Linked DNA regions of Canis lupus familiaris. The protein of the gene in region 1 interacts with the protein of each later gene in a pairwise test. Links are inferred from orthologs where the notes say so. Each region holds a gene or a part of one and is shown on either strand. Other genes may lie near its edges.

The links.
Region 2: the proteins of MYCBP-associated protein (region 1) and MYCBP interact in binary tests that used the Homo sapiens proteins (3 or more experiments, as listed by UniProt). The link is inferred for Canis lupus familiaris from reciprocal best matches to the Homo sapiens genes MYCBPAP and MYCBP.

The regions. Positions count from the first base shown.
Region 1 is NC_049230.1:26,381,818-26,386,758, forward strand, and holds the start of MYCBP-associated protein, read left to right. Parts: upstream 1-1,524; 5' UTR 1,525-1,604; coding exon 1,605-1,680; intron 1,681-4,941. UniProt on the Homo sapiens protein: May play a role in spermatogenesis. May be involved in synaptic processes.
Region 2 is NC_049236.1:3,939,769-3,944,018, forward strand, and holds the end of MYCBP (C-Myc-binding protein), read left to right. Parts: intron 1-1,208; coding exon 1,209-1,257; intron 1,258-1,496; coding exon 1,497-1,626; intron 1,627-2,987; coding exon 2,988-3,032; 3' UTR 3,033-3,210; downstream 3,211-4,250. UniProt on the Homo sapiens protein: May control the transcriptional activity of MYC. Stimulates the activation of E box-dependent transcription by MYC.

The sequences.
Region 1 (4,941 bases):
CAAGTCCAGATGACACAGTGATCGGCTTGATCTATCTTAAGTGCTCCGTAAATGTTCATGGAGTGAGCTAAACTGGGGACTCCCTTGCGGGGGTAGGGTGGGTGGAAGGAGGCTAGTGGTTGGGCCTCCAAGAGCAAAAGAGAGGTTGTCTACGGAGGATGTTTCAGTAAGAAAGTGACCATATAGAGGGGCATGAAGAGGTGTCTGGGGAACACACAGGGAGCCGAGAGATTACCCCTACAGTCATCCTCCCTAGTTCCTCCCCTTGTCTAGGGCAGACTGAAGCAAAGCTCTGACATGGCCCAGAAGACAGGGCACAAAGAGTTCTGGCCTTGGATTTGGGGGAACCATGCTCAAACTGTACTTCCTGCTACTCAGGTGCCTTTACAGCCTCCTCTTATGTAGACCTCAGTTTTTTCATCTGTAAAATGGGTATAGAGCCCATCTCCCCAACCTTACCATGATTTTGAGAACTGAGAAGATTCTATGGCTTATGGAGATCTCTGTGGTGGGTACTTTTCATGCATATTCTCACTTATGCATCTCAAGTACTCAAGTACATATTCTCAATTATGATCTCAAGTGGCCTTGTGTGGGAGGCATCATCATCTTCATTTTATAAGTGAGAAAACTGTGGCTCAGAGACGTCAAGGGGTCTGGTCCAAGAACACACAGCTAGCAAGCAGGCAGTCTGGCTCCAAAGCCCCTTCATTATTCCACACACAGTTTGAGTGACTACAAAGTGCTAAACTTGGGTTGGAGTGGGGGTGGGGACAAGTGACAGGCCTGCCTTGCTCTTACGGAGGTTACATTCTCAAGAGAACTTGATAACAGGCACACACTCACACACACACACACACACACACACCCCGCCGCCTGCCCCAACAGACAGAATAATTCGAGAATGCCTTAGGGCTCTAGGGAAAATATAAACCAGGTGCAACTGAAAGTTGAGACCACAGAGGGTCTACTTTAAATTCGGGGGTCAAGGGCAGCAGCATCTGCAGGGATTGAAACCAGCAGTACAAGGGGCGCCCAAGTCGGGGTAAAAGCCTGGGCTTTGGGGGAAGTGACCGAGAGCCTGTGGCGGGCGCGGGCGGGCGGAGGCCACAGGGGACGGGCAGGGGCCCCCAGGTCACTGAAGCCCACGGGAAGCGGCGCAGGGGGGTTCGGCGGGGCGTGGAAGAAACGGCCCGACGGAGGCGCGGAGGGCAGGCGGGAGCCGGGGCGGTGCTGACTCACGCCCCCCGCCCACCTCGCCCCGCTCCCGCGGGTCTCGCCCCGCCCCCGCCCCGCCGGCCGCTGACGTCACGGCGCTCGCCGGCTCCCTGTGACATCACGGCCCCGGCCGGCAGCTTCGCTCGGTTCGGCGCGCGGCGGGAGCGGCCCTCGGCGGGCGCGAGGGCGTGGCCGGATGAAGAAGGTGGCCGCCAAGCAGTCTCCGCCCAAGCTGATCGGTGGGTGCGCCCCCCCGCGCGAGCCGCTGGTTGCTATGGACGCCTCGGCGGCGGCGGGCGGGGGGGCGCGGGGTCGCCGGGGTGTCGCGCAGCCTCGTTGTCCCCGGTCCCGCGGCGCAGGGTCACGCTCTCGGCCCGGGCGGCACCATGAAGTCTCTAAAGAAGGAGTCCCGCCTCAAAATGTCTACTCACAGATTCTTGGAGGCCGCAGAAGTCTTTAAAGGTTGGCGCTGGCTGCCTTGGGAGCTCAGGAGAACCCGAGAGGGGCTGGGGTTCTTGGATGGGATTCACGACACAGGGCCTGGAGGACGGGGGTGACACCAGGACAGAGGTAAAGATAACGGGGGAATGGGGTACGGAGCAAGGCGTACCCCAAACCTCAGGGCTGAAGGCAGCGACCCCTGAGGGGAGGGGGCCCAGTGCACTGGGCCTTGGGGATGGGGACGCAGAAAGGCCGGAGAGGCCTCAGGGTCAACTGCTGGGCAGATGGCCCAGGGCAGGAAGGCCGGATCTCAGGGTGGGACTGCGCAGGCCCGAGCCCTCCGCTGGCGGGGGTTCAGAAGAGTCAAGAAAGAGGTCCAGGAACCCCAGTCCTTGGGAAAAGAGATTCAGAAAAGAATGCACGAAACATGTTGAGGTGGTGAAACCAACAACCCCACCAGGGGGATCCTTTGAGGGTGTTCACATAAGCCGCTGGCTGGAAAAACCCAGAAGAAATGCCCGACTTGGCCAGTTCTTCCCACCTCTCTCCACCACGTATGTCCTCTCGGGATGGATGACACTTGTCCCACTTGTTTAAACTGGAGAGCGCCTCAGACATGACAGCGTCCTGGCCTCCTCTGGTTGCAGGTGGCAGAGTCCCAAGGTGTCTGACTGCACATTCACCCCCGTGGACGTGTTCCTATGTGCAACTCACCTCATCTCCATCTTTTGCCATTTCCATTTATTGAGGGCCTGCTGCTGTGGGCAGGCACTGTGCTGGGCAGCAACGGTGTCAGTATTGACTGTGTGACCCTGGCCCACGAGAAACTCAATCTAGTGAACTGCCAGAGGAGGAACCAGGCAAATATCAATGCTCGGATACAGGGATCCCTAGTGGTTAAGGGGGCTCAGAGCCCTTGATCCCAGGCCTTAGATGCTAGAATTTGGGGGAAAAGTTTTCTGAAGAGGTGACATCTGTGGCTGACATCCCCTTCCCCACCTTCTTCTGAAAAAAGGCAGTTTGCTTTCCCAGGTCTAGGGAGCAGGGAGCAGCATGAGCTGAAGCATGGAACCAGGACCTTGGTGGCCAGGGCAGAGGTGGTGGGTGTGGAGGAGAGGGAAGGAACCAGACAGGGCTACATGGGTAGACGGGGGCCAGACCACGCCAGGGCCTTACTTGCTAGGTCAAAAAGTCTGTTCATGCTCTTGCAGGCCCTGAGGAGACCCAAAGCCAGCCTCAGAGCAGTGGTCAGCGTGAGGAGAGGGGCAGGTCTGCAGTCACCAGAGGCCCCTGGGAGGCCTGCTTAGTCACTATGGCTGGCTTTATCCCTCTTCGTAGTATAAAAGTCTGATTTAGGCTGGGTTGAGATGCTGTTTCATGACATAATTTTTTTTTTTAAGGTTTGTTTATTTATTTGAGAGAGAACACAAGCAGTGGGGAGGGGCAGAGGGAGAAGCAAACTCTCTGCTGAGCAAGGAGCTTGATGCAGGGCTCGATCCTGGGACTTGGAGATCATGACCTGAGTCCAAGGCAGAGACTTCACGAACTGAGCCACCCAGGTGTCCCTCATGATATAATTCTTAACAGTTAAGAGGGAAAGAAAAATAGCTGGGCCCCTTTCCCAAGGGCAGTCAAGGGCTTTCTTAGCCATTGCCTTCTGCACACCTAGTTTCTGGATCTTATCAGATTTGAACTTTCTACTGTAAACGAATCAAGGAAAGATTTATCACTACATATTTATTTTTTTAAGAAGGGGAAACGTAGTTTGTTAAATAGCCATTTGAGTTGGGAACATGCACCGGGGTGAGGAAGGATAAAGCCAGTGTTTAGTGGCTTTAGTGGTATGCAAGATACCCCTTTCTTCCCCCTAAAATATCTCAGGGGATGTCAATAATGTAGTAGAAAAGTACTTTTTACACCCTCTCCCCCATATGATATAATTAATCAACAATATAATCTTGTGCTATGTTTCTCCACAGTCTCTGAATTATAAGCAAAAAGGCAAGCAAATAATGTGACCATAAATCTGTTTGGGGACGTGAGCCCTTTTGACTTCCGTGTTTCTCCCTGCTTTTGTTAAGAAACCGGGAAGAAAAAAAAAAAAAAAAAAAAAGAAACCGGGAAGACTCCCAGCAGTACCAGATGCCCCTCGCCAATCAATGAAAGCTCAGCCCTGAACCCTAGGGACAGCCTCTCCCCTGGTTCTCCCAGTGCAACCCTGAAGTCAGAATTTCCCAAAGACCTTGGTCAACATTGAAAAAGAATAATGTTGGGATCCCTGGGTGGCGCAGTGGTTTAGCACCTGCCTTTGGCCCAGGGCGCGATCCTGGAGACCCAGGATCAAATCCCACATTGGGCTCCCGGTGCATGGAGCCGCCTTCTCCCTCTGCCTATGTCTCTGCCTCTCTCTCTCTCTCTCTCTCTCTCTCTGACTATCATAAATAAATAAAAATTTAAAAAAAAGAAAGAAAAAGAATAATGTTTAGATAACACAAGAAACAGAAAACTTGAGGCCAGGTTTCTTCTCCCTCCATAGTTTTTCCCCTTTCCCCCACCCCTACCTCGTCTGAGCACCTTGCTTCTAGCTGCCTGGCCTAACACCGGGGTGTTAGGCAGAAATGTTACCCAACTGCCCCATGTAAAGGGGCTGTCTCTGACCCCCTCACAGCTGCCAGGATCAAGGGAGAAATGCCAGCTATGGGACTCCCCAGAAGCCCCACTGAGCTTGGGTTTATAGACCAAAGAACAGGGAATAGCTGAGCCTCCATTAAGTTTAGTAGTAAGACATATCTTGATCCTGCTGAGTCCTCCCACAGGTCCTGAAATGACCCCCCTACATACAATAGTCCTTCCTCCCTGCTCTCCCCAACTTGCCTCTCCAAACCACCAACCTCCCCCGCCCAGCCCCCAGTCCACCTGGCTTACCCTCATTGGATGAATCACTCTGAAATGCTGCTTTTACCAACTCACTCTCCTGGACCAAACCTTCTTCCTGCCAGCAAGAAGACAGATGCTTCAGCCTTACTTTACCAAGCTGTCATGCCCTGATTTTTCTCTCATCCCCAATATCACCCCTACCTCCCCCAACAAGCCTTCTGTGTCACCATGCCTCACATACGTCATGCTCTGCCCTGCCTCCACCTTTGTTCTCTGACCTCACTTGGAACATCTTTGTTTGCTGCTCTGTCTGAAGGTTTCTGGTCCTTCAGGGCCTAACTTAGCCTCTGTTCCCTGCACCTGCTCTTCTGAACCTTTCTTTACAGCCCTAACCTGTATGATCCA
Region 2 (4,250 bases), on another chromosome or scaffold:
TAGAAGAGTAACTATCAGAACTCAGTCCAGGTTGTTAAAAGTCATTGATTGTCATTTGACTTTTTCATACTGTGTATTATTTTGATGAATTATTAAAACTAAAAAAATAAAAAAGGAAACGTGTAAGTTTTACAGCAGTTCTTGGAGTCTAGAGATGCACATTTTTTTGTGTGTGTAGTTAAATTTTTGGCTTTTGTCATTTTTCAAAGGGTTCCATGCACAAAAAATTTAACCACTGGTTTAGAGAGATTTTTGTCTGAGTAGTAAATCCTAGGAGGAATTTGTTCAATAGAAGATGAGAAAGGTAGTGCTGACATAAGCTTTTGGGTACAAACTAAAACATCTATTTTAATGTTGATCTGAGCATGTCGATTACTGGTAAAGTTTTTGGTTGGTGGTTATTTAGCATATTGTATATGAAACTATTCTTGAAGCACACTTTGAATTCAAAGCTTCTTCCAGTAATTACCATAAGCCCTGTTGATTCTCCAAAATTTTTCTCAAATTAATCTACTTTGTTTTCACCCCTCCATCACGCTAGCGCAGGTTACTATCTTTTTCAGCTGGATTAGGACACCTGCCTCTTAACTGCTCTTCCTGCCTTCATCCTTGTCCCACTCTGGATCTTTCACACAGCAGTCAAGAGCGATCCTGTCACTGTCCTGCTTAAACTGTTTAATTATATGCCTCCTGTTTTGAGCATCAAAGTCCAACCAAACTTGCCGGATCCTCCGTGGTCTGCCTCCTGACCACCTTGCCAGCTTCCTTCCCTGCCACATAGTTCATAGCTCCATCTAGCCATATTTGAATTTTCAGTTCCTCAATATGTTGTTCTCTTGTCCTCCCCACCCCCTCACCTTCCCATTTTATCTGAAACCCTCAGAGCCAAGTCTCACATCTTATTTCCCTTCATTGGGGAGCCTTCCCTGGTGCTTTGGGCTGAGTTAGGTGTTCTTCCAATGTGCTCCCATAATCCATCATCCTGTATTGCCGCTTGATGCTCTTTTTTTTGTCTAGTTCCTTGCTTTTGCACTAGACTGTAAATTTGTTGAGAGCAGGGACCTTATCTGCCTTGTTTACCATGGTATGGCAGCCCTAGCAATGTGCTTGGCATATAATGGGCACTTAATATTTACTGAGCTATGGAATATAATTTCAGTCAAATTTAAGACTTTAATTGTTGCTTTTTTCTGCTTTTTGATTTGCAGTATTGGTAGCCTTATATGAAGAACCAGAGAAACCTAATAGTGCTTTGGAGTATCCTTTTCATCTTTCAAGTCAGAAAAAGGACTTATTTTTGGAACTCTTATTTTTTCACATAAATAATATTTGAAATATTTTTGATGATTGAAAAAGTTACTTCAAGTTTTGTGGTGATGATCTCTGGGTAAATGGTGGTGGTAAGATGGGGTGACTGTGATCAGAGATATTGATACTACTCTGAGATATTTCATTAGTTTCATTCAGCTCAAGTAAATTCTTAACTTTGATATTAGTTTCTTAAAGCATCACTTAGGAGCTGCTACCCCAGAAAATCCAGAAATAGAGCTGCTTCGCCTAGAATTGGCAGAAATGAAAGAAAAATATGAAGCTATTGTAGAAGAAAATAAAAAACTGAAAACAAAGGTAAATGTTTTAAAAGAATTCATGTTAAAAATAATTTCATCTTTAATGATTATAAGATCAAAGCCTCACTAAAACGGATAGCAGGGAAGGTAGGGGGATTAATAATCTCAATTAACTGCAAGGCTGAACTGATGCCCTATCTAGAAAACCACAGACAGATAGTAAATAGGACAAGCTACGTGTGGTCAAGAAGAGGTTCTTAGGAACCCACATCAAGAAAAAGATGAGAGGGATGCCTGGGTGGCTCATTCGGTCTTGACTCTTGATCTTAGCTCAGGTCTTGATCTTAGTAGGGGGTGTGAGGTCAAGCCCTGCACTAGGCTCCATGCAGAGCATGGTGCCTACTTAAAAAAAGATGAGAGTACTGGTTAATGCTGCTTATGAGTAAATGGAGGTTTCTGGGAGTCATGAACAGTTGATTTAAGTAGGTCAATGTAGGGTCATTGCTTTGTGAATAGCACCTCTTAGAGTTGTGCAGTACATAATCTGCACAGTTGTATGTGCTGGCCTATCTTTATAAATTTGTTTGCACCTGATTTTGTCTATTTGCTAAAGTTTTTTCTTTGTTGAAACTCCTGTGAGAATTTTCATAAACTTCAAATTAGTCAACTCCAAGTCTTTGAGGTTTTTCCACATTTGAATCACATAACGCATTTTATATTAGGCATTTCTCATAATGTGATTTATCTTCTCAACAACCTTGCGAGATAAGTGAAACAGGTACACAGACCATCTTATATTTAGGAACTGAAAGCACCTTGAAGTCTAATTATCTTCTCAAATCTGACAGCTAATTGGAACAACCTAAATCTTAGCCTAGTGTTCTTTCAGGGAACCACAGCTTAGCATAACAGAAAATGCAGCATCTTAAATTATCCAGGATTCCACAACACAAATACCAGTTAACTTTTTGGCACTTTTTAAGTCAAAGACATGAGCTGCTCTTCATTGACTGGCTAGATTATTCTTTTTCCTGCTTTTTAAGAGAAAGTTCAGTCAACGTTTGGTAAAGAGAAAGATTAAGTACCTTGCCAGAAGCCACAACATCTTTGGGAAGATACAGATTATTGCATATCAAGTATTTGAGTAGTGTAGTCTCGAATTGGAATTCAGTTTTGGTTTCCCAGTAATTTTAAAGGCTTATATGAAAAGAGTTTTCATTAGACTTGATTATATTAAATCTTAAATTGTATTAATCTTAAATGGTTTAAAAAGGGATATGATATTCATATAATAAGTTACTGATTCAGTAATTAAACTGGACATAATAGTTAACTACTCGTTTTGTTACTATTAAGTTTTTTTTTTTTTACCCAACTTAGAATAAAATTCACCTAAACTCCTCTGTCTTTGCCCTATAGCTTGCTCAGTATGAACCACCTCAGGAGGAGAAGCGTGCTGAATAGGATTCTTCTCAGTTGAAAAGACACTGAAAAAATGGTTTTGTATGACTTGAATAGTTTGTATAGTATATAATCTTTTCTGAACAGATGCTCTAGAACTCTTTTAATATGTTGAATTCACCTATCACACTTTAACTGTTATAAACACATATACTTAGAATCACCAATAAAAACTCAATATAACTTTCTTTGGGTCTTAAAAGCAGGAGAATCCAAAGTGAATCCTGAAAAAAAATCTAAACACAGCCATCTAATTCATTACCTTAAAGGACATTGTTTATTAGTCTGACTAGGAATGATGGTACTGGTTGTATGTAGGCCAAGAAGTTCAGCATGGAGCTGTTCCTTGGTTTAGTGCAGGATGTGAGCACAGGTACAGCCATTCTTTAAAATGAAGAGGACACTGTTGTTTATATCCTCTGTAGGCAGCTCGAGAGATCTGTGTGACAGAAGATGCTTTTGCACGGGTTCCCATGAATATTGTACTCTTGTTTATATAATGTGGAACAAATAACTCTTCTTTGCCACCACTTTGCCTTAGATAACCGTGTGTGTGCCAGTTTGAACTCTGACACCACGTTTCCTTCTATGCAATCATGCCCTATCTGATAATGTTGCCTTGCTTTGCTCTGTGCTTCAGTGGGTTCCAGCTGCACATTGGCCTATGTTGTTTTTCAATTTGCTATACTAGCAGTTGCCCTGATTGTAATTTATATACCTTCAAACAGGACCACAACTGTTCCCCTGTCTTACTTAGTTGCTTAATTGATTGAGCACAGAACTGAGGCAATATAAATTTCTGGGTTCACGCACAAGCTGGGATAAGAAGGGGAATGAGCCATATATCGTGGAGAATTATAGTTTGCGGGTATAATTATATAGTGCTTTTTTTCCCTCAGTATTTTTCTAGCCTTGAATTCATTTTATCTTCATTATCCCTGTGAAGTAGGTAGGGCAGGTATGAGGGGAGGTTGGGTGCTGAATTTTTAGGCCAAAGACTGATATTAATACAAATTCTTCACTAACTATAGAACCTTGGGCACTTCAGTTAACTGCTCTGAGAGTCACTTTCCTCATCTGTTAAATGAGAAGAATAATATCAGTGCTGCCTACCTCACAGGGTTGTTGTGAGGGTCAAATGGAATGTACGTGAAAGATCTGTCAATGGTAAAGCACTATATTCTTGTTTGTTAGTCCTTTTCCTTTCTTTTGGAAGACCTA